7 linked regions of the Cricetulus griseus genome follow. The protein of the gene in region 1 purifies or fractionates together with the protein of each later gene. This does not show direct contact. Links are inferred from orthologs where the notes say so. Each region holds a gene or a part of one and is shown in the gene's direction. Other genes may lie near its edges. The genes, in order: Chd4, Srrm1, Smarcc1, Zfhx3, Znf512b, Top2a and Sap18.

Region 1 (4,295 bases):
AGTAGAGCAAAACTTAGGTGAAGACTTTGTTCTCCCATCACTTGCCTTGTAATATACATTTGGCTGTGCACTGGCTTTAGGTCCCAATGCTCGAAGGAAGCCCAAAGGCAGCCCTCGCGTGCCTGATGCCAAGAAGCCCAAACCCAAGAAAGTAGCTCCTCTGAAAATCAAGCTGGGAGGCTTTGGCTCCAAGCGGAAGAGATCCTCGGTGAGAGCCTGGTTCATCCCAGTGGGGAAGGAGGGAGCTTCTGTTGGGTACATGAGAATGGGGTATTTTACTGCCTTAGGCAGGTGTGACTACGCTCCTTCTCTGCAATTCTTGCTGGGATTCTTCACCATTCTTTCCTTGGCCTGGGCTTTTAACCTTTTTTTTTTTTTTTCTTATTTTTTTTTTCCAGAGTGAGGATGATGACTTAGATGTGGAATCTGACTTCGATGATGCCAGCATCAATAGCTACTCTGTTTCGGATGGTTCTACCAGCCGAAGTAGTCGGAGCCGCAAGAAACTCCGGACCACTAAAAAGAAAAAGAAAGGTGTGTTTCTTTTCTGTATTTTGGTTTAATGGGATAGGGTGAGAATGGCCAGGGAAGAATCTCCCTTAGGAGATAAGGGTTGGGGGGAGGTGGTTTTGTTCTAATAATTGGGCTTTCCCTCTTCCTTGCCCAGGCGAGGAGGAGGTGACTGCTGTGGATGGTTATGAGACAGACCACCAGGACTATTGCGAGGTGTGCCAGCAAGGCGGTGAGATCATCCTGTGTGATACCTGTCCCCGAGCCTACCATATGGTGTGCCTGGACCCAGACATGGAGAAGGCCCCCGAGGGCAAGTGGAGCTGCCCACACTGTGTGAGTACTTGGGTACCCACCCCTTAGGGCAAGGGTCGGGGGTGAGCTTCTTTGGGCCTAGATAGAAATAGAAATGGCTGTCAGCTTTGGGAAACATGTAAAGGGACAGTAGGTGCTGGCTTGGGGTGGGGGTGGGGTGGTAATAATCTGATCTCTGGTTCTTTATTGCAGGAGAAGGAGGGCATCCAGTGGGAAGCTAAAGAGGACAATTCTGAGGGTGAGGAAATTCTCGAAGAGGTTGGGGGAGACCCAGAAGAGGAAGACGACCACCATATGGAGTTCTGTCGAGTCTGCAAAGATGGCGGGGAGCTACTATGCTGTGACACCTGCCCTTCTTCCTACCATATCCACTGCCTGAACCCCCCACTGCCTGAGATCCCAAATGGCGAATGGCTCTGTCCCCGTTGTACTGTAAGTGACTTCAGTGAGGGCGGGAGAAATCATTGGAGACCTACACATTTCTAGCTGAGACAGGAATTTCCTCTTTTTTTTTCCTGAGACAGGGTTTCTCTGTGTATCTTTGGAGAGCCTGTCCTGGAACTCTGTAGACCAGGCTGGTCTCGAACTCACAGAGATTCCCCTGCCACTGCCTCCTGCCTGCCTGTTGCATTGAGGTTTCTTCTCCTTCCTGTCAGTCCTTTGTTCCTCTTCAATAATATTGTGTCTACTTTTATGTCCTCTGGCATACATGATTTTATGTGTCTGTAAGTTTAGGACTCAAAGATTAGAGAAAACTTGTCTAAGACTGACTTAATTTGCCTATATGATTGTCATAAACCTATTTTCCTGTAAATGATAATTCTTTATAGCTGAAAAATTGCATTGTTATTAATATACTACATTTTCTCCAACACCTAGGTTGGTCCTATAACAGCTCTTATATACAGGTGCTACAATAAACTTATTTTTGAGACAAGGAGCTCATTATGTAGCCCAAGTGGGCTTTGAACTCATACCATCGTTCTCATCTTACTGAGTATCAGAAGAAAAGCTCAGGTTACAGCTTCACTTCAGTCTTGATGTATTACCTCAGTTCTTGATAGCTTAGACTGTTTGAGACCCCGTCTATTGCATTTAGGTTGCTTGAGACAGGGAATCTCTTGGCTCTAGGTCTGTGGATTTTCTATGCCCAGCTATTCTGGGTTATTGCTTATTGTATAGCTCCTTGGCTTTTTATTTTAAGCTCTGTGATGATGTCCAGAAAGGAAGAGAATATTCTAGTGTTGTTTACCTAGAGAAGGTCATGGAGTTATATATTTTTTTGTTTTGTTTTTCGAGACAGGAACTAGCTCTTATTGACCAGGCTGGTCTCAAACTCACCACTGCCCGGCCTATGGGGTTATTTTTTATTTGGAATGAAGTCTTAATGACTCATTGACAAGATTTTTGGGTTTGTCTGCTAATTTGTTTATATAACTATTTAAAACACATTTTTTTGGCTGGGTGTTAGTGGCACACGCCTTTAATCCCAGCACTCGGGAGGCAGAGGCAGTCGGATCTCTGTGAGTTCGAATCAAGCCTGGTCTACAAGAGCTAGTTCCAGGACAGCCTCCAAAGCCACAGCGGAACCCTGTTTTGAACCCCCCCCCCCAAAAAAAAATTCACTGTGTAAAACAGATAGGCAGGTCTCCAGTTAACAGCTCTGCCTCCCCAGTGCTGGCATCAAAGACTTAGGTCATCAGGCTCTCTGTAGTTTTTAATTTTTATTTTTCTGGGCATGATGGTACATTCCTTTAATTCTAGCAGAGGCAGTCAGATCTCTGTGAGTTTAAGGTTGGTCTGGTCTGTATATTGACTTTCAGGCCAGCTAGGGCTCTTCAGTGAGACTTAGCTGAAAATCAAAAAAACTGTCTGTGTGTGTTGTATATGCATGCACATGTATGTGCAGGGATCCAGGCCTCTTGTGTACCCAGGCCAGGAAAGGAGCAGTGTTCTACTCTATGATTCCACCTTATTCCTTTGGAAAGAATATTAACAAGTCTTACTAAACCTGAAGCTGTGCTGGCAGCTAGCAGGCTCCCGTGATCCTTCCTTTCATCTGCTCCCATGGCACTGGGGTTGCAGGTGTGCATGACTCTGTGTGACTTTCTGTGTGGGTGCTGGCAATTTTGTTTTATGATGGGTGTTTTTGTTGACTGTATGTGTAGACACAGTGTGTATTCAGTGAGAGAAGGTTTCAGATCCCCTGGAACTGGAGTTACAAATTACTGTTAGCCACGATGGGAATGCTGGGAATCAAATGCTGTTCCTTTGGAAGACCAGCAAGTTTCATCTTGCCAAATGCTGGCCATTTGAACTCATGTTCTCATCCTTGTGCAGCTTTTTGAGATAAAGTGATCTCTTTTTCAGTGTCCAGCTCTTAAGGGCAAAGTGCAGAAGATCCTGATTTGGAAGTGGGGCCAGCCGCCGTCTCCCACACCAGTGCCTCGGCCTCCAGATGCTGATCCTAATACCCCTTCTCCCAAACCCCTGGAGGGGCGGCCAGAGAGACAGTTCTTTGTAAAATGGCAAGGCATGTCTTACTGGCACTGCTCCTGGGTATCAGAACTGCAGGTGAGCCTGGGACAGGCTGTGTATGTGGGGTGATACTGCAGAGGTGTTGAGAAAACAGCCTTGTGAGTAGGGGCTGGATGGAGTTTCAGGGTGGTTTACTTTCTCTTCCCCCTCCCAGTTGGAGCTGCACTGTCAGGTGATGTTCCGAAACTACCAGCGGAAGAATGATATGGATGAGCCACCTTCTGGGGACTTTGGTGGAGATGAAGAGAAGAGCCGAAAGCGAAAGAACAAGGACCCTAAGTTTGCAGAGATGGAAGAGCGCTTCTATCGCTATGGAATAAAGCCGGAGTGGATGATGATCCACCGAATCCTCAACCACAGGTACCAGCTTGGCTCCCTGGAGGTGGTGTACTTAGGGGCTCTTTCTAAAGGAGTTAGGAATTAGCAGATGGCCATCGCCAGTGACTTAGGCTCTGTAATTAGGTTCTGTAATTCAGTGACCGAGTCCTGGAATTTGGCCCATAGGGAGAGCATAAGTTAGAGATTAGTGGTCCAGAGACAGATATCATTGAGGCTTTGAATACATGTGGAGTCTGGCACATTTAGAATGGTTTTGTCAGTTTTTAAGAGCAAGACTGACTGGGGAGGTGAGGAAAGTTGCTTTCTGGCTCTGAGGAGTTGTTCTTTATTGACCTTGTAGTGTGGACAAGAAGGGCCATGTTCACTACTTAATCAAGTGGCGAGACTTACCCTATGATCAGGCATCTTGGGAGAGTGAGGATGTGGAGATCCAGGACTATGACCTGTTCAAGCAGGGCTACTGGAATCACAGGTAGGTGATCAAACGGACAGGGGAAAGAGTAGAGCTGCCCCCTTGAAGGGACCCCTAGGCAGCTGTGGTCCATTTCCATTCCTAGGGAGTTAATGAGGGGAGAGGAAGGACGGCCAGGCAA
Region 2 (4,295 bases), on another chromosome or scaffold:
TTTTTTGTTTTTGCAGTACTAGGGACCATGCCCAGGGCTTTGTATGTGTTAGCCAAGTGTTAAACCATTCAGCTATAGCCTTTCTGGATCACTTTCTAGGTACTTTAATAGGGATTTTGTTTTGGTTTTTGAGAACAGGTTTCTCTGTGGTTCTGGCTGTCCTGGAACTCATCCACCTGTCTCTGCCTCACGTGCTGGGACTAAAGGTGTGCACCACCACCACAGCCTGGTAGCTTTGACCTTTTGACTGGCATCCAGTAGTTACACATAATTGGGGGCTATAGTGTGGCATTGTAGCAGGTTTGCCATGTAATGATCGGGTGAGGATAATCAGTATACCTATCACCCCAGACATTCAGCTTTAATTTTTGATTCCTTGCCCCTGATTTTGCACACAAAAACATCCTCAGAGGGTTAGGTTGTGTGTTCTCGGGACATGGTAGAGTACTTGCAGAGCTGACATACTAACTACTGCAGGGTTTTACCTTCTCAAACAAAACTGTTTGGTTCTGAACTCACTATGTTGACCAGGCTGACCTGCAACTCAGAGACCCTCCTGTCTCTGCCTCCTGAGTGCTAGGATAGGATATCATACCCAACCAATAACTTTGTTGTTACAGTACTAGAGACTGTGCCCAGGCCTTTCTACATGTTAGCTAACTGCTCTTGCCACTCTGCTATATTCTCAGCCCAAACAAAAGTTTTCTTGATCACTTTCCAAGGAACTGTAGCCAGCCAGCAAGCCAGTCCGTAGATTTCAAATCGGAGAGCCAGTAACTTCCATATTTAATTGAGCCTGGAGGAACTACTGCTGCCTTCCTGCTCTGAGTTTTGATGGTTTAATTTTCATGGACTCCAGACAGAGTCTCATTGTAGTCCAGGCTGTCCTCAGATTTGCTATGTAACAAGGTTGGCTTGAACCCCAATCCTCTGCTCTTGTCTGAAGTTTTAGGATTACAGAAGCACGACACCTCACCTGGCTTCTAACTCAATAATTCACCCCAACCCCATTCTTTCCTCTCCTCTCTGAGAAAGAATCAGTGACCTGAACAGAGTAGTTGAGAATTTCTGGTCTTCTTAAACTTCCCAGTGCTTGGATTATAGGTGTGCACTACTGTGTCCCACATTTTTGGCCTTGGCATGTAACTCTGGAACACACTGGGTTTCTTGTATCTCTCTCAAACTGTGGAGCTAAAGATGACCTTGAACTTCTGACCTTCCAAATCCGTAGTGCTAGGATTACAGGCACCACCATACCTGGTTTATATAGTGTTAGGATTAAGCTCAGGGCTTCCTGCGTGCTGGGTAAACACTGCCACCACGGAGGTGTATATCTCCAGCCTTCAGTTTTGCTATGCTTACTGGAATTTGTGTGCCAGGCTACCCTCAGTGCCAAACTCTTCCTGCCTGCCTCTCTCCACATTTTTAAAGTTACACCAGGCTGAAGCATTGTAGTCTTGGGGTGTTCTTGCAAACAGTGCTACTATTTGGGAAGAGAATAAAACTTGAAATATTTCAGTTTTCTCATTTAAACACCTGCAGAAGTACACAAGTCAAACTTAACATTGATGTAGACAGGGTGTCTTACTCTGAATGTTACTATGTTTTACTTGTTAAGGATGTACATTAATAATATTAAAATATAGGTGCCTTATATGTCAGCTGCATTTAGAAAAGGATGTGCATCTTATATCTGAATATTAGTTATGGTGTTTAAAAGTCACAACCTTTATTTGCTATTAAAGAATTTAATAGCTATGGCTCAGACATAATATAGACAACTATTTTTTAAAATCCCCGAAAACTAGAAGGGCGTTATAATGTGGTAAAGGAAATGAAGTGAGAAGAACTGCGTCAGTGTGGTGGGAAGTTAGGCATAGGCCCTAAGAGCGAAGGGTTAGGCCATGCTGCTGGCACATGCTGTGAATCCCAGCTCTACTCCAGGCTGCTAGATACCTGAGTTGGAGGCCATCCTGATCCATATAGTGAGTTTCAGGCCAGCCACTGTGTGTGGGAGCTGGGAACAGTGTGCAAACATAACTAAATAAAATAAGTGGAAACTAATAAAGTTTTTTTTGTTTTGTTTTTTTAAATTTTGTAATCACCAGTATGGGGATTCAAGCCACCACTTGGGAAACTGAGACCGGAGAATTGCTGTTAGTTTAAGGGCTGGCCTGAGCTAACAAAAGAAGCTAAGATTTTTGTGTGTGTGCAAGAAGGGCGGGGAGTATTGACAGGGTTTCTCTGTGTACCTACTCTGACTGTTCTGGAACTCTCTGTAGACCATGCTGGTCTTAAATTACTTTATTTTTCTTTTCTTTTTAGTTGTGAAAATTCCTCTACTACTTTTGTATCCACCTGAGTGTTTAAAAAGCAAACAGTACTAATGGCCACTTTGGTAAAAAAACAGTCTCCAACCCTAAGGATTACATCGTTTGGACGGGTTTTAGTCCTGGTATATCAAACCCCTTGGCCATGACAGCAGCTACTACTTCATAGAGAGCACTCACCACATGTTCACTGTTTGATTTTTCTTAAGGCTGTCAGGGTGGCTGAGTGGGTGAAGGCACCTGTTGCTAAGCCTAATGAATTGAATTCCATCCCTGGGATCCACATGCTGGAAGGGGAGAACCCACTCTCCAGAGTTGTCCTCTGACCTCGACATGTGTGCACTATTTTTTGAAAAAGAAAAGGAAAATTTAATCTTGTATTCTTAGGACATGTGTTTGTTTCCTTCAGGGAACAAGTGCGGAGCAGGATAATCGGTTCAGCAACAAACAGAAGAAACTCCTCAAGCAGCTGAAATTTGCAGAATGCCTAGAAAAAAAGGTATTCTGGGTGGGGGCCATGCCCCTTTTTTGTAGCAGTTGTTGCATTTTAGGGTTTGGGAGATGAACTGTAACTCTTGTGTAAAATGTGAGTGGATGAATTCATGGTTGCACATTTGCCACCACATACAGAGTGCAACCAAAGAATGAGCATGGAAGGAACATTTTTTAAATGTACACAAGCTAAGAGAAATATTTAGATAAAGTATAACTGGGGTTCTTACTGCAGTGAACTTGTGCTTAACTAATGGTTTGCATGTTTCATCAGGTGGACATGAGCAAAGTAAATTTGGAGGTTATAAAGCCTTGGATAACAAAAAGAGTAACTGAAATCCTTGGATTTGAAGATGATGTTGTGATTGAGTTTATATTCAACCAGCTGGAAGTGAAGGTACTAATATACAGATGGCTCTTTTTTCTGAATATGTGACATAATTTGTGAATCTATGGAAACTCAGTTTTTCTATGGAATACAAATATAGAAGGATTATTTTACAATGTTTGTTGTGAAAAGAATTCACTTTGTAAACAACTGTTAAGGCTGGAAGTTTAGTGAAGGTACATAGTTTTGAAAAGCTACACAGGTGAAAAATCAAACTTACTGTTTGTAATTTTGCTGTTACATGTTAAGTTACTTTGACAGCAATTTTCTAATGATAATGTGATTTATGATTTAAAAGGCCTGAACCAAAATGGAAGTTATTCCTTGCGTCTGAAGTATAGCACCATCACCTTATTAGGTCACAGCAGAGTGAGTGTCCCAATGTCGCTCTGACCCAACTCCCTTGATGACGCAGTGTGTGTTTGGAGGTGAGTTGTGTAAAGTGGCCGAACATCAACAACAACAACAAAACACAAACAAGAGCAATTGGTAAAGCTGTATACTGCTCTTTAAAGTAGCTTTTGAGATGGACATTTATTTGAAGCATGAGGGGCGATTCTGATTTGATTGGATGATGTTTTTAAAAGAGCTAAAGTCTTCAGCTGTAGTTGCAAGTCAGCTGGTTACCACTTAGAATTTAGGCGCAGGATTTTGTTTACATTCTAGTTAAACTTGAGGCAGATGAACAGACAGTCCTGTTCAAGCCAGTTAACATAATTGTTCCTGTCTTCCAAATGAAATGATACAAGATAATACAAGTGATGTTTTAAAACATTTGTTATAACATAGTTTGCTATTTTGCCATGGCATCCCAAAGGACAGTGTAAAGATGTACCATATAACCTTTTGGTAAATATACCAATGTGAATTTACTTTTACATTACTCCTTTTCCCAAAGAGTTCATGCTTGAATTTTGACAGAACAGTTACATTCCAACCGATATAAGGTATTTCATTTTTAAAAACAATATGGTGATTATTTTGCTTTTAATGTTTTTAAAGACTTAATTTTAAGACTGTACTTTATAAAGTATATTTATTTCACGTAGAGACCAGAAACATGGGAGAATGTTTTTTAAATGATG
Region 3 (4,295 bases), on another chromosome or scaffold:
GTTCATTTGTGCACTTGTTTGTTTTCTGTTTGTGTGCCTGCTGAAGCATGAAAGTAGAGGTCAGGACAACTTGCTGGAATTTTTTTCTCCTGCATCAGTATATGTTTAGATGATTGAAGGCATATTTGGTGGCAAGATCCTTTGTCACTGAGACGTCTCTGTGGACAGCCACCATATGACATCGTAAATGTAGATGAAGAAAATGGAAGGACCAATCAGCTTTGTTCACAGATCATTGATATGTTCTGTCACATATAACTAATACTTAACATGATTTCTCTCTGGAAAGCCTTCTTTGGGACTCAGATGTCATCACACATAACACACACACAAACACACACATCTATAGCAGAAATCTGGATATACAGTTGATTCAAATAGAGTTTGCTAAGCCTGATCATTTTTTCTTGGGCTCTACAGTACTTCCAACCTAAAGAATGTTTTTAAATTATTGAATTTATTTATATATAGTTACTTAATAAGATCTGATAATCCCTGAGAGATATTTTAGTTCATCACAGTTTCTGAGGGCTAGAAGAAGACAAACTGGTGTTTAGGAATTTCAATAACTATTATAAATTCCAACTCTTGACTGACTACATTGTGTGACCATACTTAGTATTCTGATCTTTGTTAGCCACTTTCCTTAGAAATCTTTTCATTTTGTGCCTTTATTGTTGTAATAGTATAAAGAGGAAGTAATACAATATATAATTTTTATTGTCCTCATAGTTGGTCTTTTATTTATTTATTTTTGGAGATTGGACATTGAGTTCTACCCCACGATTTCAGTCAATATTGACTCTCTCAATTGTTGGTGTTACAGACTTGAGCCACTATTCCCAGCGGAAGTTTTTCAGCTAATTAGGGAATAGAAACTACAGTATATACTTTGGGTAGAAAACACAAAAGTTTTTAACTGTGTTGTTTCCTCTTAAATGTAAAGGAAATTATTCAGTCAAACTATTTTTAGTAAGAAGTACTCAGGTTTTGGATTTATTTATTTGTTTGGTTGGTTGGTTTTTCAAGACAGGGTTTCTCTATGTAGCTTTGGAGCTTATCCTGGTACTCAATCTGGAGACCAGGCTGGCCTCGAACTCACAGAGATCCGCCTGCCTTTGCCTCTCCGGTGCTGGGATTAAAGGCATGCGCCACCAATGCCTGGCTATAGTTTTTGGATTTATTAATTTTCCTTTGAAACTTGGATAATGCAGAACTCATTTTAAGATTTATTTCTTTTTCAAAAAACAATGTAAACCTACGTACCTCTTTTCTTTCAGTATTCATGTGATTGAACGGCGTGCTCTTCCTGAGTTTTTTAATGGAAAAAACAAATCCAAGACTCCAGAAATGTGAGCCCAGTGTTTATCGAACTTTTTATGTTCCTAGCATGGATTTGTTGTATATGAGTGTTTTGCCTGCATGCGTATTCATGTGTACCATGTATGTGCAGTGAATGTGATGTCCAGATGAGTGCATTGGGTCTCCTGAAGGTGGAGTTAAAGGTTATGAGGCAAATCTTGGTCCTGGGCAAAATCAGAAGCAAGTGCTTTTAACCACTCGGCCTTCTCCCTGCCTCTCTTGATTCAAAAAACACAATCTCACATGGTTGTTTTTTACTTTTTTATTTTTAATAAGCAAATAGTGTGCACCACTCAGAAATTATGTGTATCTTACTTCTGCATCATTTTAACTTTAAAGGAATGTGTAGTTTTTCCTAAACCTCAGGTGATATGTGTATCAGTTCTAGCACTTAAATATTGAATCTAGTAAATGAATTTTAGTTGAAGTTTGTAATAGTCACTTTTAATGTTTCTATAGCTATATAATGGTCTGGTAGGGAATGAAATCTTTATCCCCATGGTAAATTATTACTAATTACATTCTCATTCAATTGCATTTGAATTGAGTTAAATTTTCTAAAGCATTTGCTTTTGCAATAGAATTAGGAAAAACTGGAAGGAAGTTGCTTATCAGAACAAATATTTGTCTTGTTCGTGTGACCCAATGTTATATATTTCTGGAAGTTATGTTTTTTTGTTGTTTGTTTAGCTTTTATTCTACTTTTTTCTGTTTGTTTGTGATAGGCTTTACTGTGAAGACCAGGCTAGCCTAGAACTACAGTTACACGCCTGCCTTTGTTTCCTGATTGGGATCAAAGGTGTGCTTGGCCAACTTCTTGAATGTTTTATCTCTGAAATTAATTCACAGCTCTCCTTTCTTGGAACATGACTCTATTTCCATTGCATGTGTGTACTTGCAAAGTTAGAGTGTCCTGTGATCACCCTGTTTTAGGAAGACATGATTTAAATTCTTTTCCATATAAAACACATGGGCCCACATGCACTTAACAATAAACATATTATGGTTTTATTTTTCCATGTTAATTTGAATACAGTGCTTTGATGTCAGAAATAAGGGCTGTATTCGAGTTACCAAATTCCAGATTGGGATTTAAAGCCCAGATTGTTTTCCACCCTTAAGTGTTTGGGGAGTCATACTTTAAAATTAGACTTTTCTATTTTAGCCTTTTTGTCTTGTAAATTCAGTCATTTTTGTATGCCCATGGTTGGTCTGTATGTAGCCTTTTTGAAATTTTTGACTTTTTGCTCCTACATAGCTGCTCACATGTGTTGTGAGACTTTCATTTTTGACATGCAAAATTTTTTTGTTAATGTATGCAAAAACTTGTGATAGCTTACACCTTTAATCCCAGCAGAGCAGTTAGATCTTTGAGTTCAAGGCCAGCCTGGTTTATAGAATGAGTTCTAGGGTAGCCAGGATGACACAGAGAAGCCCTGTCTTGGGGGGCAGGGCAAGGGAACCTGTTGGTAGATGTCACAATCCTTAACGTTCCTGATTTTTTTTTTTTTTAAGTAATTCATTTAATGTTATTTTATGTGCATCAGATCCCCAGGAACTGAAGTAACAGGCAGATGTGAGCCACCATGTGGTTGCTGGGAATTGAACTTGGGTCCTCTGGAAGAGCAGACAGTGTTCTTAACCACCTAGTCATATCTCCAGCCCCAACATTTTTGAGTTTTAAAAAGCAATTGTGGCAGAAATGCTACAGTATTCTGTGGAGTCTTATGTGACTTTTAGTCTCAATTTTTCTTGCTTTTGTATGCTTTGGTCTTGCCCTGATTTGTTTTCTCTTTGGTTGTTTGTCTAGCTAAGTCTCCCTGAATGGAATGCCCTGAGAAAGTATATTGATGTGTCATAACCATGTCCTTGGGTGGAAAGCAAGAGTGGTCACCCATTATGAACATAGATCTGAGATGTGGTCTTCTCACTTTCCAGCCCTCAGTCTAGGACAGGTCTTCAAGTGCTCTGTGCTTCAGTTTGTGTGTAAATGGGATGATGAACCTGATTTTACTAGGGTTCTGGGTATTAGGTGAGCGAGCTACTTCACAGTGTGCTTAGCAACCAAAGGTAGTGTTCAAATTACCTCATGTGTTGTTACAATGTGGTAAACATTTGTTTTTCATTTTATTGGTTATGAACTCATTTGAATTACTAATATTTTAGTACAATATCAGTGTTGTTGCTGCTTAATATTGCTGTCATTTTATGTCTTTGGGAATATTTTTAGATACTTGGCATATCGAAATTTTATGATTGACACATACCGTCTAAACCCCCAAGAATATTTGACCAGTACTGCTTGTCGGAGAAACCTGACTGGAGACGTGTGTGCTGTGATGAGGTAAATGTTTGCCTTAGATCCTGTGCCGATTGATTTACTTTTCAAGGTTTTTGTTACTTTTATTCAGGTGTATAATGCGTGCCAGTTTGAGCTTGGATTCCAGAGGAGGAACTAGAGGGAGTTAGGAACAGTTTGACGTGGGTGTTGGTTGACAAATTTGGGTTTTCTGAAAGAACTTAACTGTCTCTTGCTCTCATATCTGACAAGTTTTACATGATTGAACTCTTTCCTTTTCCTTCCTTCCTTCCCTCCCTCCCTCCTCCCTCCCTCCCTCCCTCCCTCCCTCCCCCCTCCCCCCTCTCTCTCTCTCTCTCTCTCTCTCTCTCTCTTCTTTCTTTCTTTCTTTCGACAGGGTTTCTCTATTGCTTTGGAGGCTGTCCTGGAACTCACTGTGTGTAGACCAGCGTGGCTGGAACTCACAGAGTTCCACCTGCCTCTGCTTCCCTAGTGCTGGAATTCAAGGCGTGGGCCACCAATGCCCTGCTGAGATTGACTTCTTCATTCCACTCATAGAGATTCTGTATTTTTAATACTCACGTTAATAATCTGTTCTTGCACAGCTGACCCCCAAATCATGGAGAATGTGAAT
Region 4 (4,729 bases), on another chromosome or scaffold:
TCCCTTAAGGCAGTTCTTTTCTTCCAAGGCCCTAGCTTGGGGGGGGAAATTGCAATCTCTTTTTTTTTGTACTAAAATATAGACTGGGGTTAGTCTGCACCCAACAGGTTAGGTATTTACATCGATTTGAACCCGAATTCTATTGTACAAAATGCTTTCTATACAGGGACATGGTAGTTTTCACCAACCAAGCATCCCCCTCTCCTCCCTGTTAACGCGTGCTTAATGCAAATACGATTCCATACATTCTGCTCTTCGCCTGGTGAGCTTATTATATTTCTAACACTTGCATGGTTCATTATTGTGCAGTAGGAAAAGACTCGCGGCTGCAGGGGCAGCCTGGGTGGCTGGTTTTCTGAAAGAGAAAAAGCAGGTGTCTTTCTTTCTGTGCTGAGAATGAAGACTAGATTTAGGAGGAGGGTGGAATTCTGTCTGAGAGGACTGGAGACTTCCGGTGAGATTTCAAGGGGCCTGCCTTTACATAATAGGATGTAAAAGGTGAAGTTAGGGGAACCTAGAAGTGCCCAGCAGATGCACCAGTTGAGGTGGCCTTGTTCGGTTTGATCCTGGTGGTAGACTCCCCCTGAGACCAGCACCTTTCTTGCCCTATCTGAAATGCTGTGTGGCTTTTAAGGGCAGTCTCCTTCCTTAAATCGGGTGGCTGCAAACTGCTCGTCCTTTTCTAGTCATTTCTTCCTCTCTTCTCCTTTTCTCCTCTCTCCTCAAAAACTGTCCTTAAACTCTCAGTGGAGAGTAGGGGATGTTTTCGCAAGTTTCTGCAGCTGAAAAACAGAAGTTCTCTGTGAAGCAGTTAATAGGATGGGTGTGTGTTTCAAATAAATTCCTGTCCACATTGGCTAGAGTCTCCTGTTAAGAGTGGCCTGGCTCTGACGTGGACAGGGCCCAGAGACTGATGGATCAGGGTTCGGAGGCCCGGACTGCTGCTTCTTCCTTTTTTTTTTTTTTTTTTGGTGGCTGAGGGCGCGTCCGTTTCTTCCAGGCCGGCCTTTGACTTTTGATGAGCGGTGCGGTCAGTGCCTCTCGGGGACGCGGCTTTGTTCCTGCCGGGCCGGTTCCCGGGTTGGTGTAGGCCGGGGCAGCCAAGGCTCCTGTCCCCAGGCGAGTGCGGCCCAGCCTGCTTCCAAGGCCGGTGCTGGGAGCCAGGGCCCAGCAGACTCGGCCCTGCTTCTGTGTGTTATGTCCCCAGGTCCCCGCAGGCACGCGGGCGCGGCCACCGTGAGCAGTCCGGCCTGCGCCCAGCGCGACTGTAGATGTCAGGCTTTGCCCGGGGAGCCGAGAGGCTGCGGGGCTGTGAGTTTCAAATTAACCTTCCGCTTTGTTGCTGTGTAATGTGGATCCCCGAAGGCCCCCCGCCCCGCCCGCCCCCCTTCCTCGGGCGGTGCGCGCTGCAAACTGCGAGTTGAGCTTCATTTACATAAAGCGATTCCGGGCGGGCGGGCGGGCGGCGCAGGAGGAGGAGAGAGGCGGGCAGGCCGGGACGGGGACCGGGACGCAGCGCCGCGCCCCGTGGGTGAATCCCCGCCGCGCCTGGGGGACCTCCCTCCCCGGGCAGCCCGAAGATCGCCAGCCCGGGCCGCCACCATGCGCGCCCCGCCCCTGCCGCCAGGCCCCTCGCTCCTAGCCTGCGCCACCGCTGAGCCCGGGGGGCAGCGGGAGGTGGGGAGAATGCCGCCTGGGGTGGGTAAGTTCGGGGCTCCGCTGCCGCTGGAATCTCCCGTTGTCGCACAGGCCGGAGTGGTGGCCCCCGGACCTCCGAGTGCCTCCTTCCTCCCGAGGTGTACGGAGGCTTTGTGTGCCAGGTGAGTGCAGCCTCCCTCCCCCGCCGCGCGGCTCGCAGCCGGCCTAGCGCTGGAGGCAGGTGCTGCGAGTCTTGGCTGAACTTCCCATTCTCTTGGGGCATGTGGGGGAAGGGCAGGCTGGATGCACTTGAACTCCTAGACTCCAGTGGGAACCTACCTGGGGAGAGAGTGGCTAGAGTCTGCTGGGCGCGGGAGTACGTTCCTTCTATCCCCTCTCGCTTTCCTCTCAGACCTCCTCCTCATTCTGCTTTTGGGGTAGTTCCTACCTTCCTAATACTTGGGGTGCTGGTGCCACCGAGAACTTCGGGTTCTTTCGTTTGGAACATACCCTCTTCAGACACACACACACACACACACACACACACACACACACACACACACACACAACAGAGAGAGAGAGAGAGAGAGAGAGAGAGAGAGAGAGAGAGAGAGTTAGAAATCGCTGGTCAGTTTGCAGCAATGTGAAGAATGTGCCTGTTTGAGGAGTAATTAAAGAGAGAATCAGTATAGAGCTGGAGGGGACCTATGGAGATCATCTTGGCCGCCCTCTAATTTTGGTTTGTTCTCCTGTCAGAGCCCGTGCAGCATTTATTTGCTATGGGGGGGGGGTGTGAAGGAAGAGGTAAGATTTTTACCCAGTTAAAGATGAGAGGTGTCCAAGTTAGGGTAGCAACAAGAAAAAAAAATGTCAACTCAAAAGTAATTTTTAGGCTTGGAGAGAAACAAGCTTTCTGGAAAACAGCCCTGTCTTGTACATATCTATGTAATGATGATGAGGGATCTTGCCCTCAGGGAAAAGCCCATACATAGCCCATACATGATACACTCAAAGGAGTTTGAACAGCCTGACATAGTGGTACCGGTATGCCAAACTGGTTTAAAGGCAGCCGGTGAGCAGGTGAATCCAGGAGGGTACTTCACCCTTTGCATTTGTGCCATTTGTCAGCCTTTGAAGCACTGGCACATAACCATAGAGAGTATAGACTTCCCATCTGGAACCCAGGGAAGGCCTCTTCTTCAGGCTCTGGCCAAGTAGGGCCTGCTTGGTCGAAGGCATCAAGGAACAGCAAGGCAAACAGACTTAATCCTTGAAGAGAGATAGTGAGAAAGTTACACGTCATCTTCATCTTACTTCATTTCATGCTTTGAGATCCTTGGAGACGAGTCACTAAATAAATAGAGTATAATTTGAAGCTCACCCTAGCTGGGGGTAACTGTTTCTTTGCCATCAAGCAGCAGGTGTAAGTTTGTAGAGTTGGCCCCTAGAGTCCCCTCATTCCTAAATTCAGGAGGTGTCAAACCTTCATGTTCTTTTAATGGCTGTGGTTTCTGGATAGCTTTCAAGGGAAACCCTAAAAATCACGAGTTCCAGTGGGATGGGCTAGAGTGCTGTGGCCCAGACTACATTAAATAGGAAAGCATAGCCCTTCCAAGGTAACAGGCTGCAGTAGGGAACTGGGAGCCTGTTTCTTGTTATCACAGCATCCACCGGCAGCCTGAGATTCTAAATCACAGACATAGCAAACGGTTATGAGTGATCTGGAGACCAAGATTCTTAATCATTGAAGGATTTCAAGAATGGGGTCTTTGGAGAGAGGTAAATGCTTGTATGTTTGCATACCTGTATTTGTGTTCATCTAGTTTGGAGGGGTTCTTGAAGGTTCCCTTGTAGAGAGTGTGCAGCCATGAAGGCCAAGAGCAACTTTACCCCTTTCTTTTCTAAGTCACAGGACAAAAGAGATTGTCTGCATTTGATTTCCAGTATGGCTTTCAGAAGACATGTAAAGTGGCTCTCAGAGTTGGCTGGGGGTCACACTGGGTCTTTTATTTAATTACACAAGTGTTATTTAACAACATGGGGTCGGTGGCAGAACCAAGCACTTGTACACTTTGAAAGCAGTTCTTTTGGAACGGCACGGAATTAAGTGCCTTGAAGACTTTCTGTCTTTATGGCAGGGGTCACTTGCCTCCCTCTCACCCCACCCAGTAGGTATACTTGCTGTCTGTGGGATGGAACTCTGGTTTTCCACATCTAAAATCTGTTTTGATTGACAAGAACTTGCTGGCTCTGAAAACAACAAAAACAATGAGCTGCAACTGCCAATCACCTAAAACATTAATTTTGGTTTCCTTGCACAAGTGAATGCTAAGGGAATGTGGAAAGGCCCAAAGAAAACGGTACTTCCAGGCAGACAGCAAAGTGCTTTCTTGCTGTTTTGGGACTGGATTTAACTGCCATGTAAACTTAGTGCCAATTGGACTTCCTAGTGTCAAGGAGCTCAAATACGTGAGATTTCAGCCTTCACCATTAGGACTTAAAAGTGGTGGCTTTTATACTTTTCCAGGACAGGCCTGGCTCACTTTGGGCAACCCAAAAGGGGGTTCATTTATTAGAATAAATCTGTAAATGCAGACTGATAGAACTGGTCTGCTCATGCTGACGGAGGTTTAGCTGGTTCTTAAAGGAACTAAAACTGAAGTTTTGGTCACATGTGGTGTTCATGGACTATGTCCTTATTGCTGATGTGTGCGTGTTTGTATATACATGTGCCATGTCTGAACTGTTGTTCCTTTTGGTGTATCTTCTGGAGGCTTTGGAAGTGACAGTGTGAGAGCTTAGGAATGCTTGAGGGCCCAAAACAGATGCCTTCCTGGGCAACTTAGTTTTACTGGGGAGTTCCAAAAGTTTCATCTTTAAAAGTAAATATTTAAGTGACTAAGCAGTGTTTTCTCAAAATGTGTGGAATTGCTGTTCCTGCCTGCTGTCTGCATTGATGCCTGGAAGAGTTCCTAGCTTGCTTCCCAGCTTAAGGCCCTGAGTCTTTCCTCAGTGGGGAGGCAGTGGGGAGTCTGGCTGCGGAAGCTTGTCTAAGCCCCACCTCCTGGCTGGCCAGCACTGCAAGAATAAA
Region 5 (4,932 bases), on another chromosome or scaffold:
ACTTTTGCAGAGTTGAGTTCCTAGCACCCACTTTAGGCAGTTCACAACTGCCTATAACTCCAGCTTCAGGGTATCTGATGCCCTCTTCTGGCCACTGTGCACACACACACACACAAATGTTTAAAAATCAGCTCTTTGGGACTGGAGAGCTGGCTCTGTGGCTAAGAACACTAGCTGGTTTGCCAGATTTCCTGAGTTCAATTCCCAGCAATCACATGTTGGCTCACAACCATCTGTAATGAAATCTGGTGCCCTCTTCTGGCCTGCAGAGATACATGCAGACAGAACACTATACATAATAAATAAATCTTTAAAATAATCAGCCCTTTAAATCATGACACATAGTTACACATGGACGTACATAACCTGAACATATTACACACATCCCACACACCCTGACATCTAGTTACACAGGCAAACAATCTTATCTACAACAGGACAAGCAGATATGCCATGATGTTGTGATGCCTACACACAACTGCCACCTGATACACATGGTCACTTAAGACACATACCAACCTGTGGGCACTGGCACATCACAGTTGTGAACACTCAGATTTATACAGGGAAAGGTAACAACCTTGAATGTATCTCAGTCTGCACACTGACTGCTACCAACATTCTGACATTCCACACCCTGGAAAGTGCCTTTAATGTCAGCATGTGGGTGGCAGAAACAGACAGTTCTCTGAGTTTTATGCCAGCCTTGTCTACAAAGTATGTTCCAGGCTAGCCAGAGGCTACACAGTGAGACCCTTTTTCAAAACACAGAGTGGGGCTGGGACGACAGTATTGTGGTCACCAAATGAAAGCCCAATTTTCCTCTCTTCCCTCCTGAACAAATGAAAGCTTATCTCTAATACAGGGTATCCCTGGGTTTCCTGTGGAGTTCCAGTCTTTTCACTCTACCTCTTTACCAGCCAGCTTCCCCTCCCCAATCTGCCAAAGGAGAGTTTATTTCTCTCTGCTTCATTTATTCCCAAATCCTGTGGGTTGGGGTGTCATTACCTACCCCCAGATCTGACACTAGCAGCCCAGGCTCTCTCTGGCCAGAGAAGCTAGATACTAGCCATTGGTCTAGGACCATTGTTCACAACGACGAGAGTTGATTCAATAGCCAGTAATCCCAATAAAGCCCAATGGTTTTACAGAGTGTAGATTGACTAAGGTGGCCACCAGGACAGATACAGGCTGGGGCGCACCCTGACTGACAGTCTATGGAGTTCCTATAACGGCAATCTTTCCTCATAGGGTCTACTTCAGCTAGCGCAACCAGACAGGTTGCTTAATCTGTGAGACAGAATTTGTAGTGTCCAGAGAGTTCCTGACATGCCTCAGTTTACTGGACTGTCCACAAAGCGACTCCTGCCTTAGGCACGCTTGACAGGCCTCTTGGTGCTGGTACCACCGGGGATAGGGATCTCACAGCCTCGAGGCACAGGCAGGCCCCACTGGCCCCTTCCCCGCAGCGGCTGCCGCGTGAATACCGCGAGAGTTCGCCCCCTCCCCCCCGCAGTAAAACTGTCAAAGGTGGGAGGGGCGGGAGCGCGCATGTGCGCAGCACGGCGCGGAGTGTGCGCCGCCCGGACCCCGCGCCCCGCGCCCCGCGCCCCGGCTCCGGCCCCGGCTCCGGCTCCGGCCTGGCCCGGCCGCACCCGTTGGGCGCTGCAGGTAAGCGCTGGCCGTGCTCGCCCTACCGCGGCCCCGGCGCCAGCCCGTGCCCCGCACCAGGCGTGTGCTCAGCCCGCCTCCCCGCCGCGCCCGGACCCGCGCCGCGCCCCGCTCCCCGCGTCGGCGCCGTCCTCCCGCCTCCTCCTTCTCCAGAAAAAGTCGCCATTTTGGTTCACTGCCTTCGCCCCCCCGCGGTCGGCGCTTCCGGGCCCGGGCTGCAGCCCGTGTCCGGCCTCAGGTGACAGGTGGGTGGCCACGGGCCTTCAGGTGCTCGTCTTGGCAGCGCTCGCCAGACCAGGAGAGTGGCCTGAGTCCGCGGCGGCGCCCCCTTCCCCGGAGGCTATAAGCGAGATCCTGGGGACCCCAGGTGGTGGAGGGATTTTCCTTCTACTCTGGCGACCACCATGCCTTACCCCTAACTCTGATCTCTGACCAGATTGGAAGGGTGCAGCAGGCCCTTTGCCCCTGGCCGCAAATGTTACCAGGATTCTGGATGACTCGTTTCTTTCTGAAGCTACAAAACGAGAACACCCAGAGAACTTGTTGGTTTAAGACCCTCCCCTCCTTCCCCTAGGCCCAGTATGGGTGTTGCCTTTGGCAGTGGACAGTGGCTGACCTGACGTCTAACCTGAGCGCTCCCGGATATAGCAGCGCCTACATATCCCCTCTGATTTGAGTTGGTCACAAACTGTCAGGAGAGGGTTCCCCTGCTTGAACCTTGCTCTTTGGTACCGCCCCCTTCTGTGGTTTTGGGTACCTCTGAGAGGCCTCCACATAACTATGGTCAGAGCCCCCCTCAGTTTTCAGGGTATGAGATGTCCCAAGCAGAAAAGGTCCCTGAACCTCACACCCCCCCACCCCCAGCATGCTCTGTGCTTCAGCCTGGCAGGCTCTGAAGCTTGGGCCAGTATTGGCTATAACTTGTTTAGCCGAAGTGGGCAACTAGGCAAGTAATCTCGAAGTTATTGAGAATAGCAAGCAATGGTGGCCTGCTAGCCTGTGGTGGCTCAGAGTCCGAACCAGTGCCTCCATCTGGGTGGAGGGGCTCTGATTACACAGAAGGCTGAGAAGACAGGCAGGTAGGATGGCTCAGCAAGCATGGGGACCAAAATGGAGTTCCAGTGGGTCTTCACTTTGCCCACCAGAGAGATGGGTGCATGTGGTGGGGAAGCAGGCCTTCAACTCTCACGTTGGCTGTCTTCTGTGTCCATAGAGAGGTCTTTAAGGGTGCTCATCTGGGTAAGTTAGTATCACATATCTGGAGGGGCAGAGGCCAGGGCCCTAAGGAGAAGGTGTCCCTGAGGCATCATGGCATGGCTGCTTTTGAATTAATTGTCCCCCAAGAGGGATATTATCAGTCTCCTTCCTATTGCACAGTCCCTTTCTGAACACAAGCCCCACCTGATCCTTTGCACACTGTGGTACCATGTGTCTAGATGATGGTGAGATGAGTGTGTCAAATATAGCAAAGAGTCTCAGCTCTTTCCACACTGCTCATGCCTTGTCAGTTATTTAAACAGATCTTGTCTGTGCAGACCCCCTTCCTTGAGTTAGAAGCCCCGATTACATCCTTTTTGATGGGGTAGAGAGGCCTATTGTGGGCCTCAAGGATAGTTCCAATGAAAGCCCTGAGTTAGACCCATTTAGCTCATAGGTCTGTGCACTTGCTCTATAGAGATGACTGAATCCTTCTGTGTTGGAGGAGGCCGCCGGCTTCAAGGGTCCAACAAAAGTGGATCTGGAAAGAGTGGCAGCCGGAAGGATGTCCAGCTTCCCATATTGCAAGACCCACCAAAGCTGGGTAAGGAGCCATGGCAGAAATCAATTCTAGAGGGTACAGATAGCCAGTGGTAGAGTAGGCTACCTCCTTGGATATCCTGAGGACTTTCTTGGGGTGGATATTGTTAGCCTGAGTCTTAAACTCTTGTCCTAGGTACCTTGGGCCTTGGTATGGGTAAGCCAAGACTCAGTCTGGACTTGCTGCCCCATGGGAGGTGGTGGTGTTATGTATCCACTGGGCCTTGCTCTCTCCTGTGCTGTAGGTATGCCAGTGGTTCACAGTGGACATACAGTGCCTAGCCAGGCCTCACTCTGCTTTGACCCCGGAAACCCAGCCAGTGACAGGACAGAAGGGAAGAAAAAAGGGAGGCCGAAAGCCGAGAATCAGGCTCTCCGAGATATTCCTGTGAGCTCCCTGAGGGTGGGGCTGGGAGGTGCTGCTCATACTATTCAGCCTGTGAAGGCCACTGCCCTGCCCTTACCTACCCACAATACATCCTGTGCCAGCTTGTTTCAGCATGAGGCCAAGGGCCCTTGCATCTGACCCATATAAGGCCCCAGTGGGCTATGTTAGTAGCCTGCAGCATGGTTGAATACTTGATCTGCTCTTGAGGTTTAAAGGGTTTGGTTTGGGGGCCCTTTGAATCTGGGTAGCTGCAAATCAGCAGTTTGACCTTTTCCTCTATCCAGTTCTCCCTGATGAACCAATGGAAAGATGAATTCAAGGCACACTCAAGAGTGAAGTGTCCAAACTCAGGGTGCTGGCTAGAGTTCCCCAGCATCTACGGGCTCAAGTACCACTATCAGCGGTGCCAAGGGGTAAGGGGCTGTGGGTCGGGGAAGAGGAGGCCTGGGAGTGCATCTGGGCAGAGGCCCCCGGGGCCCCATCCCACACCTGCCCTCCCTGCCCAGGGCGCTATCTCAGATAGGCTGGCCTTCCCTTGCCCCTTCTGCGAGGCCGCATTCACCTCCAAGACCCAGCTGGAGAAGCACCGGATTTGGAATCACATGGACCATCCTCTGCCTACCCCCAAGCCTGGCCCGGTCAGCCGGCCAGTCACCATCAACCGGCCTGTTGGGGTCAGCAAGCCCATCGGAGTGAGCAAACCTGTTACTGTTGGCAAACCAGTGGGAGTCAGCAAACCCATTGGCATCAGTAAGCCTGTCACAGTCAGCAGGCCTATGCCAGTCACTAAGCCTGTCACAGTCAGTAGGCCCATGCCAGTGTCTAGGCCTGTGCCAGTCACCAAACCCATCCCAATCACCAAACCTGTGCCACTCACCAAACACATGCCCGTCACCAAGCTTGTGACAGTTACAAAACCTGTGCCACTCACCAAGCCAGTACCAGTCAGCAGGCCCATTGTGGTCAGCAAGCCAGTGCCGGTCAGCAGGCCCATTGCCATCAGCAGACACACACCACCCTGCAAAATGGTATTGCTGACCAAATCTGAGAACAAAACACCTCGTGCTACAGGCAAG
Region 6 (4,295 bases), on another chromosome or scaffold:
TCCAAAGCTATCTTGTGCTGTATAGTCTCAAAAGGAAAGGCTGGAGAGATGTCTCAGCAGTTAAGAACACTTAATGCTTGTTCTCAGCACTGGGTTCAGTTCTCAGCACCCACATGGCAGGCAGTTCACAACTGTGTGACTCAGTTCTGAGCGATTCAAGGGCCTCTTTTGGCCTCCATGGGATAGTGCTCTAAGCACAGGTTGCAATACAAACATGCAGGCAAACATCCATTGATGTAAAATCTTTTTTCAGTAATTGATAATTGATATTTAACGGGCATTTCTGATAATTTTTATAAAGGTTATGCAATTTATTGATTCAAAGCTTGAGTCTTCTTTTCTTTTCCAGGTGCTTTTTGACCATGTAGGTTGCTTAAAGAAATATGACACTGTGTTGGATATTCTAAAAGACTTCTTTGAGCTTAGGCTTAAATATTATGGATTAAGAAAAGAATGGCTTCTGGGAATGCTTGGTGCAGAATCTGCTAAACTGAATAATCAAGCTCGTTTTATATTAGAGAAAATAGATGGCAAAATAATCATTGGTATGTAAAGTGTGGGCTAACTTTCCCTAGATTGTTTATTGCTGTTTGTAGGGTTTTAGTAGTACTTGGGCTCAAATCCAGGGCCTTATAACTTGCTAATTGTGTACTCTGTGTTAGCCTTACCCCCTAGATTGAGCATCTAAAGAAATCAAGACTAAATGTTTAGATAGGGAAGAGACTAGAGAACTAAAAGACCTGTGTGGGGCTGGGGTGTAGCTTAGAGTGGTAAAATGCCTCCTGACATCCACAGGGTCCTAGGTCCAACTCCAATAACTACATCAACTTCCTGTGGTGGCACACATCTGTGTTCCCAGCACTGGGAACAGGAAGCAGGAGGGTTAAGGCCGTCGTTGGCTCCGTAGTGGATTTTAAACCAACCCCGAGTACATGGGATCTTGTCTGAGAAAAAGACCTTGTATAACTAATTGATCACAAGAAGAAACAGTAGTCTGATCTTAAAAGAAGACTGAAAAAGAGGCAAATCTTAGGGATGTTTGTTTTGTTGGAAAGTCCATAAAAGAAAAAAAAAAGAATCTTGACTAAAGCTGGGTGTAAGAATGAAGCTCAGGGGCTGGAGAGATGGCTCTAAGGTTAAGAGCACTGACTGCTCTTCCAGAGGTCCTGAGTTCAATTCCCAGCAACCACATGGTGCCTCACAACTATCCGTAATGAGATCTGGTGCCCTCTTCTGGTGAGCAGACATGCACACAAAACAGAACGTTATATACATAATAAATAAGTAAATCTTTAAAATAAAGAAATAAAGCATAGGCTAAACGGTGGTGTCACACACCTTTAATCCCAGCACTGGGGAAACAGAGGCAGAAGGATCTCTTATGAGTTTGAGGCCGGCCTGGTTTACAGAGTGAGTTTCAGGACAGCCAGGGCCACATGGAGAAAAGACCTTGACTAAACATCAAGTTCAGTGACAATGAGTGGTTCTCTGAAACTAGTGACTTTGACAGTCCCTCAAACCATAATTGGCTGCAGCAGACACTGAGAGAGGGCCATGTTGTGTGGTGCTGTAATTAAGAACATCAAGCTTTGAACAGATTGCTAGAGCCTAGACCAATGAAACATTGAAAGAAACGCCAGAAAACATAATTGAGTCAGTCACAGGCTCTTCAGAAATGGAGGCTTTGACTCTTCTCTATTCTTTTGAGAGAGAGCTAATAGATTTCAGCCTCACCTATGGTTTAAATGTCTCCTGATAATTCAGTTTTCCTTGTTCACAGAAATTTGTCTATGATCTGGACAGAAATAGAGGCAAAACATAGACAGTTGAAATTCCAGTTTTGTGGGTTTGTTTATTTTGGGGTTTTGTTTTTTCAAGACAGGTTTTCTCTGTGTAATCCTGGCTGTCCTAGAACTCACTCATGTAGGCCAGCCCTGGAACTCATAGTTCCACTTGCCTTTGCCTCCTGAGTGTGAGATTAAAGGTGTGCACCACCACCTGGCTTGAATTTTCCAGTTTAATCTTTCAATGTAATGTAGAAACACCTTATCCTTTTTCGAAAATTTTGCTCAAAGTTTATCTCTCTTTTTTTTTTTTCAACAGAAAATAAACCTAAAAAAGAGCTAATTAAAGTTCTAATTCAGAGAGGATATGATTCAGATCCTGTAAAAGCCTGGAAAGAAGCTCAGCAAAAGGTAATTTCTTTGCTAGCCACTTGCTAAGCTCCGAATATGTTCATTCTATTTATCTATTGGCTATGACATGCATGCAGGCAGAGCATCCATATACATAGAATAAAAATGGGGAGACTTTTTAAATTAAAAAATGTAAAATCTGTTTTCTTGCATTTCTAGAGGTCACAAGTTAAAAAAAAAATCAAGGACCATGTATGTTTATATTTCATATTCTGTATTTTAATTCATCCTTTAGGTCCCAGATGAAGAAGAAAATGAAGAAAGTGACAATGAAAACAGTGACTCTGTAGCAGAATCTGGACCGACTTTCAATTACCTTCTTGATATGCCCCTTTGGTATCTAACCAAAGAAAAGAAAGATGAACTGTGCAAACAAAGAAATGAAAAGGTAACTTGTAGATAGACTGGAATGGCCGGTTTAATATCCTTTTGGTGGGGAATAAAGTAAGCTGTTCTGTTTAAAAAATACTATTTGTACATATTTACACTCTCAATTTTTTGGTAAAGGAACAAGAGCTCAACACATTAAAGAACAAGAGTCCATCAGATTTGTGGAAGGAGGATTTGGCAGTTTTTATTGAAGAACTGGAGGTATGTATTTATAAAGCCTATATTAATACTAGTAGACTAGCAACATGCCCTTTCTTAAATATGTATATTTCTTATGTATATGTGTGTTTGTATGTTGGGGAAGGTGTGGGTAAATGCAAGTGCTCACAAAAGCCAAAGGTGCCCATCCGCTGGACCTGTAGTTAGTTACAGGCAGTGGTGAGTCACCTACTGTGGGTGCTGAGAACTGAACCTCGGCTAGAGCAGTAAGGTCTCTTAACCACTGAGTACCTGTCCAGCTCAAACAGCATCCCTTTTTATCAAGAAGCTTCATATTTAATAAAAGAAGAGATATAAAAGGAGAAAGAATATATCCCAAAATAATAAAAAGGCAGGATATGGTAAGTAGCCACTTAGACAGTACACCTATAATCTCAGACTAAATTTGAGGCCTGCCTGGGCTACCCACTGAGTTCCAGGCCAGCCTGAACTATATATGTAATGTACTAAGACCCACTCAAAATGCAAGTACTACAATATAATTGTAGAGCACTTGTCATACAGGTGCAAACTTTTGCCCTCTCTGCTTAGCACTTCAAAAAAGAAAAACATTAAAACACATTAGGCAGAGCATGGTGCACATGCCTGTAATTCTAGCATTTGAATGGAAGATGAATTGAGGGTCATCTCAGACACAGGGACTTAGAGACCATGCTGCACAACATGAAAACAAAAACAGGAGGGCAGGTGACTCAGCAGGTGAAGCACTTGCTGTACAAGCCTGGTAACCTGAGTTCAATCCCCAGAGCTCAGGTAAGGAGGAAAGAGCCGACTCCACATAGTGGTCCTGTGGTTTCTATGTGCTTGCTGTGACGTGCACATGCACACACATACAATAATGATAATATATTTTAGAGAGGGAAAGGAACAGGTTATTAAATACTAGTTAGCATAAAGTAAGTGATGGCAAGAAATACACTAAATCAGTATTTTACAGATTAAAGAGAGAAAGTTAAGTCACTTTTAGAGGTGGCCCCTCAGTTTCAGAATGTCCTTTGTCACTTAAATTTCCTTAGTAGTACTTAGTTTTTTTGATATTACAAATATATAGCTTATCCTATAGAACAGTTTCCTCTTTGTCTTTAGAAAGATTAAGTGATGACATTAGACATCAGTTAGACATAGGCACCCAGTTCTCCTGTCTCTGCCTTCCTAAAGTCATCCACATCGTACCTTCACTACCCTGCATTGGACCTTCACTATGGCTGATCATGGATTTATCTTAAATTGTAAAAATGGAAAGTTTACTTAACTATGCTTTTTAGGTGTGATGTTCTCCTCACCTATAAATTTATTCTCATAATTCCCTTTGATAGGTTGTTGAAGCCAAGGAAAAGCAAGATGAACAAGTAGGACTTCCTGGAAAAGGGGGGAAAGCAAAAGGGAAGAAAGCACAAATGTCTGAAGTCTTGCCTTCTCCTCATGGAAAAAGAGTTATTCCCCAAGTGACCATGGAGATGAAAGCAGAAGCAGAGAAGAAAATTAGGAAGA
Region 7 (3,418 bases), on another chromosome or scaffold:
TTGACAGACTGGGACTTATCAGGTGTCAGGCATTGGCATGCTGGGCTGTACTGTTCATGCAGTGAGACCCTTCCCTAGAGGTGACAACAGGTGGCACTTCACAGCAGTTTATAGATTGGAGCTGAGGGTGTAGCTCAGTAGTACGTTGCTTGGGAACAAGAACTTGGGAACAAGAACCTGACTTCGACAGCTTTAACTAGGGTGGTGGTATTTTTTTTTTTTTAATTAAATTGGACTAGCAGAAGGGCATGTTCTGGAAGAGCAAATTCTATTACAGGAATATTGAAATATTTGGAATAGAAAATGGAGGACAGTGTGGTTGGTCATCTTTGGTATTTTCACTCCATGTATTTGAATATGGTGGTGTGGAAATTGATTGTACAGTTCACAGTAGAAATGCAATGGGCTCTTTGGTTCTTTTCCTTGATGCTGTTACATCAGTGTTCTAATTCTCAAGTGTCTAGTGTTCTGCCATTTTCCCCCAGCACTTTGCACAAAATGCTGTTTTAAGTTTAGACCTTGCATTTCACTTTTCTTGTTGTTATGAGCAAAAACAATATGTGAACGAGGTTGTTAAAACATTGCTAAAATGTTTACATTTTCAGTTCCTTTGTTCTAGATTGTGTTATATTAGTCCAAAAGACTATTTTTAGTTCTGAGTTCAGAAGTTTTTTTAAGTTGTATTTATTTTACATCTCAGCTGCAGTTTCCCCTCACTCCTCTCCTTGCATTGCCTTCTGCCACCCCCCCCATCCACTCCTCTGTTTCTGTTTAGATAAGAATTTTTAAGTTAATGGCTTGTGTTGTAAAAGGACCCAAAATTTCATGTCCTTGGCTTTAGGATTCATTCCATCTTTAAAAAAAAAAATAAATAAATCATTTTTTTGTTCTCTTCCTGCCGTTTTCTGTCTTTGTCTCTCTCCCCACTCTCCCTTCCCTTCCCCCAATGAACTTTCCACATAAGTTTTAAAAATCATTTTTTATTATTTTGTGTTGTGCACTGTGCAAGTACTACATCACTTGTAGAGGGCTGAGGGCATCTTTTGGGATATTTTCTCTCCACATTTACTTAAGAATTCTGGGGATTGAACTTGGGACAACAGTCTTGTGCAGCAAGTGCCTTTACCTACTGAGCCATCTCACTGGCAAATTTTCATTACACTTTTCTGTGTATATGTAGTGTATGGGAGTGTCATGGTACATGTGTGGAGGACAGAGGACAGGCTACTTCTCTGTTCTATCATGTGAGCTCCATGGATCGAATTTAGGTCATCGGGCTTGGCAGCAAGCAATGATACTTGCTAAGCCTTCTTGCCTGCCTCCATCAAGATTCTATTAGAGAATAAGAAATTTCATATCCTTATGAAGATGCTATCCCAGCACATTGATTCTAAGATGCATTCTAGTTTTAGAGGCTGCATTGTATGAGATTATATATCTTAGAAATTAAACAGTTAATTTGTGCAGTTGAATAACTTGGACTGGTTACTTGTGGGTAAGTACATCACTGAGCCAGATGATGCTGTGTAGCTTCAGAAGTGGTTATGTGGGAATCTCCTTAAACTCTTGCAGTAAGAGTTATTGATATTTTTAGCATTGAGGCCAGCACAGGAAATATTCAGAGGCAAATAATTTTTTAATTATTACTTGTGTGTGTTTGCCCACATCCCATGAAATGCTTGAGGAGGTCAAGAGGACAACTGTGGAGTTGGTACTCTCCTGACCTTTATTTGGGTTGACACGGTTTGCCAGGATTGTGCCACAAATTGCCTTTTCCCTGCCAGGCCATCTTGTGGGTAATTCATATAGTGTGAGGCCCTGGAATACAACTCAAGGATGTACAACTTGCTGTTTTTTATGTCCCTGTTACACTAATGTTTATTAATCGTATTATCTTTTCAAAAACCTTAGGATGGATGCAACCTTGAAAGAACTGACTAGTTTAGTAAAGGAAGTCTACCCAGAAGCCAGAAAGAAGGGCACACACTTCAATTTTGCAATTGTTTTTATGGATCTTAAACGACCTGGATATCGGTAGGTGACTTGTTACTATTTCTGTACTCTCTGGAGTTTGCAGGACCCTTTTCTGACAAGATGAAGTTATCAGTCTATTTCAGGCTTCAGTGTTGGAATTATAGGCATATCATATGATACCATGCCTGGCTTTAGGATACTCTCTTTAGTGGTGGTGTCTATAGGCTTATATTCAGATCTGGCTTAGCTTGAATGTAGTGCTTAAATTCTGGAAATCTGTTGTGTAGAGACCATTTCATGTTCTCTGTAGTCTATACTGTTCCATCGATGCAGTTCTAGTCTATTAACGGCTGATTTCCTTCACTGCAGAGTTAAGGAGATTGGCAGCACCATGTCTGGCAGGAAGGGCACTGATGACTCCATGACCCTGCAGTCACAGAAGTTCCAAATAGGGGATTATCTGGACATAGCCATCACTCCTCCAAATCGAGCACCTCCTTCAGGACGGATGAGACCGTACTAAATTCTATTGACTTTCTTCAAGTTATTTTTCAGCCAGTTTGTAAAATAAACTTAATCTTTTCCTCCCTTGAACCTTGCCATTAAGCCTTTAAATTTTAAGCAAATTGTAACACATTTATTTAGGAATTAGAGTTGGATGTACTTTGGTATATTAAAGTCTGTATGTTTTAAGTCCTCCTGTAAAATACGAAAAGTGCTCTTAGCATTCTGTGTAAAACTGTTGTGAAATACATGTGTGCAATTAGCCCAGGTGTGAAGTTAATGGAGACCTGGGAACAGAGTCTCAACCATGAGGGCATTTTAAGCCCTCAAGAGGCAGAACAAGAAAGCCATGGGGTTGTATAAAATGGTACAGTCAGTTTGTGGTATTAGACTATAGGCGTGTGTGAATAAGACGTTGAAAAAACCATCTTGTGTTGGAAAAGCTTGGCTCGCTTAAATAACAAAATAAAATAGGTGGCAAGAGCTAGAGAGACGGCTCAGTTTAAGAACACTTGCTACTCTTGCAGAGGACCCAGGCCCCACCCAACATCTGCATGATGGCTCACAACTCTAACTGCAGTCCTAGGGGATCTGACCCACTCCTGACTATAGCACCATGCATGTGTTGAAGAGAAGAAATGAGCCAAAGCCTAAGGTTCAATCAAGGTTTACCTTGAAGAGCTGAGAATGGAGGGAGAGGGAAGGAAGCAGTCCTGTGAAGTGCTGGAAAGCTGTAAAAGCTTTAGAGTAGGACCTGCAGGGCAGGAGAGATGGCAGAGCAGGTCAGTCATGCTGATGTGTGTGTGAAGGGCAAGGGAGGAGGAAGAGAGCTAAATAGTTATTCTCTGACATGAAGAACTGGATTTGTTCTACCACTTTCCAGCTTGTATAGGACAGCTTAGCTGTGTGTGCCAGGACTGTACAGAACATACTGCCAAGT

What was found.
Region 2: the proteins of Chd4 (region 1) and Srrm1 purify together in Homo sapiens (affinity purification with mass spectrometry; 3 studies listed by BioGRID). This does not show direct contact. The link is inferred for Cricetulus griseus from reciprocal best matches to the Homo sapiens genes CHD4 and SRRM1.
Region 3: the proteins of Chd4 (region 1) and Smarcc1 purify together in Homo sapiens (affinity purification with western blotting; 6 studies listed by BioGRID, with this or other methods). This does not show direct contact. The link is inferred for Cricetulus griseus from reciprocal best matches to the Homo sapiens genes CHD4 and SMARCC1.
Region 4: the proteins of Chd4 (region 1) and Zfhx3 purify together in Homo sapiens (affinity purification with mass spectrometry, with the first as the bait; 3 studies listed by BioGRID). This does not show direct contact. The link is inferred for Cricetulus griseus from reciprocal best matches to the Homo sapiens genes CHD4 and ZFHX3.
Region 5: the proteins of Chd4 (region 1) and Znf512b purify together in Homo sapiens (affinity purification with mass spectrometry; 4 studies listed by BioGRID and IntAct, with this or other methods). This does not show direct contact. The link is inferred for Cricetulus griseus from reciprocal best matches to the Homo sapiens genes CHD4 and ZNF512B.
Region 6: the proteins of Chd4 (region 1) and Top2a purify together in Homo sapiens (affinity purification with mass spectrometry; 3 studies listed by BioGRID and IntAct, with this or other methods). This does not show direct contact. The link is inferred for Cricetulus griseus from reciprocal best matches to the Homo sapiens genes CHD4 and TOP2A.
Region 7: the proteins of Chd4 (region 1) and Sap18 purify together in Homo sapiens (affinity purification with mass spectrometry; 3 studies listed by BioGRID, with this or other methods). This does not show direct contact. The link is inferred for Cricetulus griseus from reciprocal best matches to the Homo sapiens genes CHD4 and SAP18.

What each region holds. Positions count from the first base shown.
Region 1 is NC_048601.1:21,323,400-21,327,694, reverse strand, and holds part of Chd4 (chromodomain-helicase-DNA-binding protein 4), read left to right. Parts: intron 1-80; coding exon 81-208; intron 209-398; coding exon 399-534; intron 535-667; coding exon 668-846; intron 847-1,017; coding exon 1,018-1,257; intron 1,258-3,195; coding exon 3,196-3,399; intron 3,400-3,517; coding exon 3,518-3,723; intron 3,724-4,042; coding exon 4,043-4,174; intron 4,175-4,259; coding exon 4,260-4,295. UniProt on the Homo sapiens protein: ATP-dependent chromatin-remodeling factor that binds and distorts nucleosomal DNA. Acts as a component of the histone deacetylase NuRD complex which participates in the remodeling of chromatin.
Region 2 is NC_048595.1:17,923,367-17,927,661, forward strand, and holds part of Srrm1 (serine/arginine repetitive matrix protein 1), read left to right. Parts: intron 1-2,739; coding exon 2,740-2,829; intron 2,830-3,096; coding exon 3,097-3,219; intron 3,220-3,505; exon of another isoform or gene 3,506-3,638; intron 3,639-3,644; exon of another isoform or gene 3,645-4,295. UniProt on the Homo sapiens protein: Part of pre- and post-splicing multiprotein mRNP complexes. As a component of the minor spliceosome, involved in the splicing of U12-type introns in pre-mRNAs. Involved in numerous pre-mRNA processing events.
Region 3 is NC_048597.1:217,639,494-217,643,788, forward strand, and holds part of Smarcc1 (SWI/SNF complex subunit SMARCC1), read left to right. Parts: intron 1-1,280; coding exon 1,281-1,352; intron 1,353-3,592; coding exon 3,593-3,706; intron 3,707-4,295. UniProt on the Homo sapiens protein: Involved in transcriptional activation and repression of select genes by chromatin remodeling (alteration of DNA-nucleosome topology).
Region 4 is NC_048596.1:185,042,741-185,047,469, forward strand, and holds the start of Zfhx3 (zinc finger homeobox protein 3), read left to right. Parts: upstream 1-1,688; 5' UTR 1,689-1,820; intron 1,821-4,729. Other genes in the region: spidroin-2-like, read right to left, coding at 1,030-1,265, 1,436-1,604.
Region 5 is NC_048599.1:320,260-325,191, forward strand, and holds the start of Znf512b (zinc finger protein 512B), read left to right. Parts: upstream 1-1,524; 5' UTR 1,525-1,671; intron 1,672-1,696; exon of another isoform or gene 1,697-1,916; intron 1,917-3,346; 5' UTR 3,347-3,348; coding exon 3,349-3,472; intron 3,473-3,713; coding exon 3,714-3,856; intron 3,857-4,140; coding exon 4,141-4,269; intron 4,270-4,362; coding exon 4,363-4,932. UniProt on the Homo sapiens protein: Involved in transcriptional regulation by repressing gene expression. Associates with the nucleosome remodeling and histone deacetylase (NuRD) complex, which promotes transcriptional repression by histone deacetylation and nucleosome remodeling.
Region 6 is NC_048600.1:112,078,437-112,082,731, reverse strand, and holds part of Top2a (DNA topoisomerase 2-alpha), read left to right. Parts: intron 1-349; coding exon 350-545; intron 546-2,103; coding exon 2,104-2,195; intron 2,196-2,430; coding exon 2,431-2,583; intron 2,584-2,702; coding exon 2,703-2,786; intron 2,787-4,120; coding exon 4,121-4,295. UniProt on the Homo sapiens protein: Key decatenating enzyme that alters DNA topology by binding to two double-stranded DNA molecules, generating a double-stranded break in one of the strands, passing the intact strand through the broken strand, and religating the broken strand.
Region 7 is NW_023276807.1:212,950,838-212,954,255, forward strand, and holds part of Sap18 (histone deacetylase complex subunit SAP18), read left to right. Parts: intron 1-1,911; coding exon 1,912-2,034; intron 2,035-2,343; coding exon 2,344-2,497; 3' UTR 2,498-3,418. UniProt on the Homo sapiens protein: Component of the SIN3-repressing complex. Enhances the ability of SIN3-HDAC1-mediated transcriptional repression. When tethered to the promoter, it can direct the formation of a repressive complex to core histone proteins.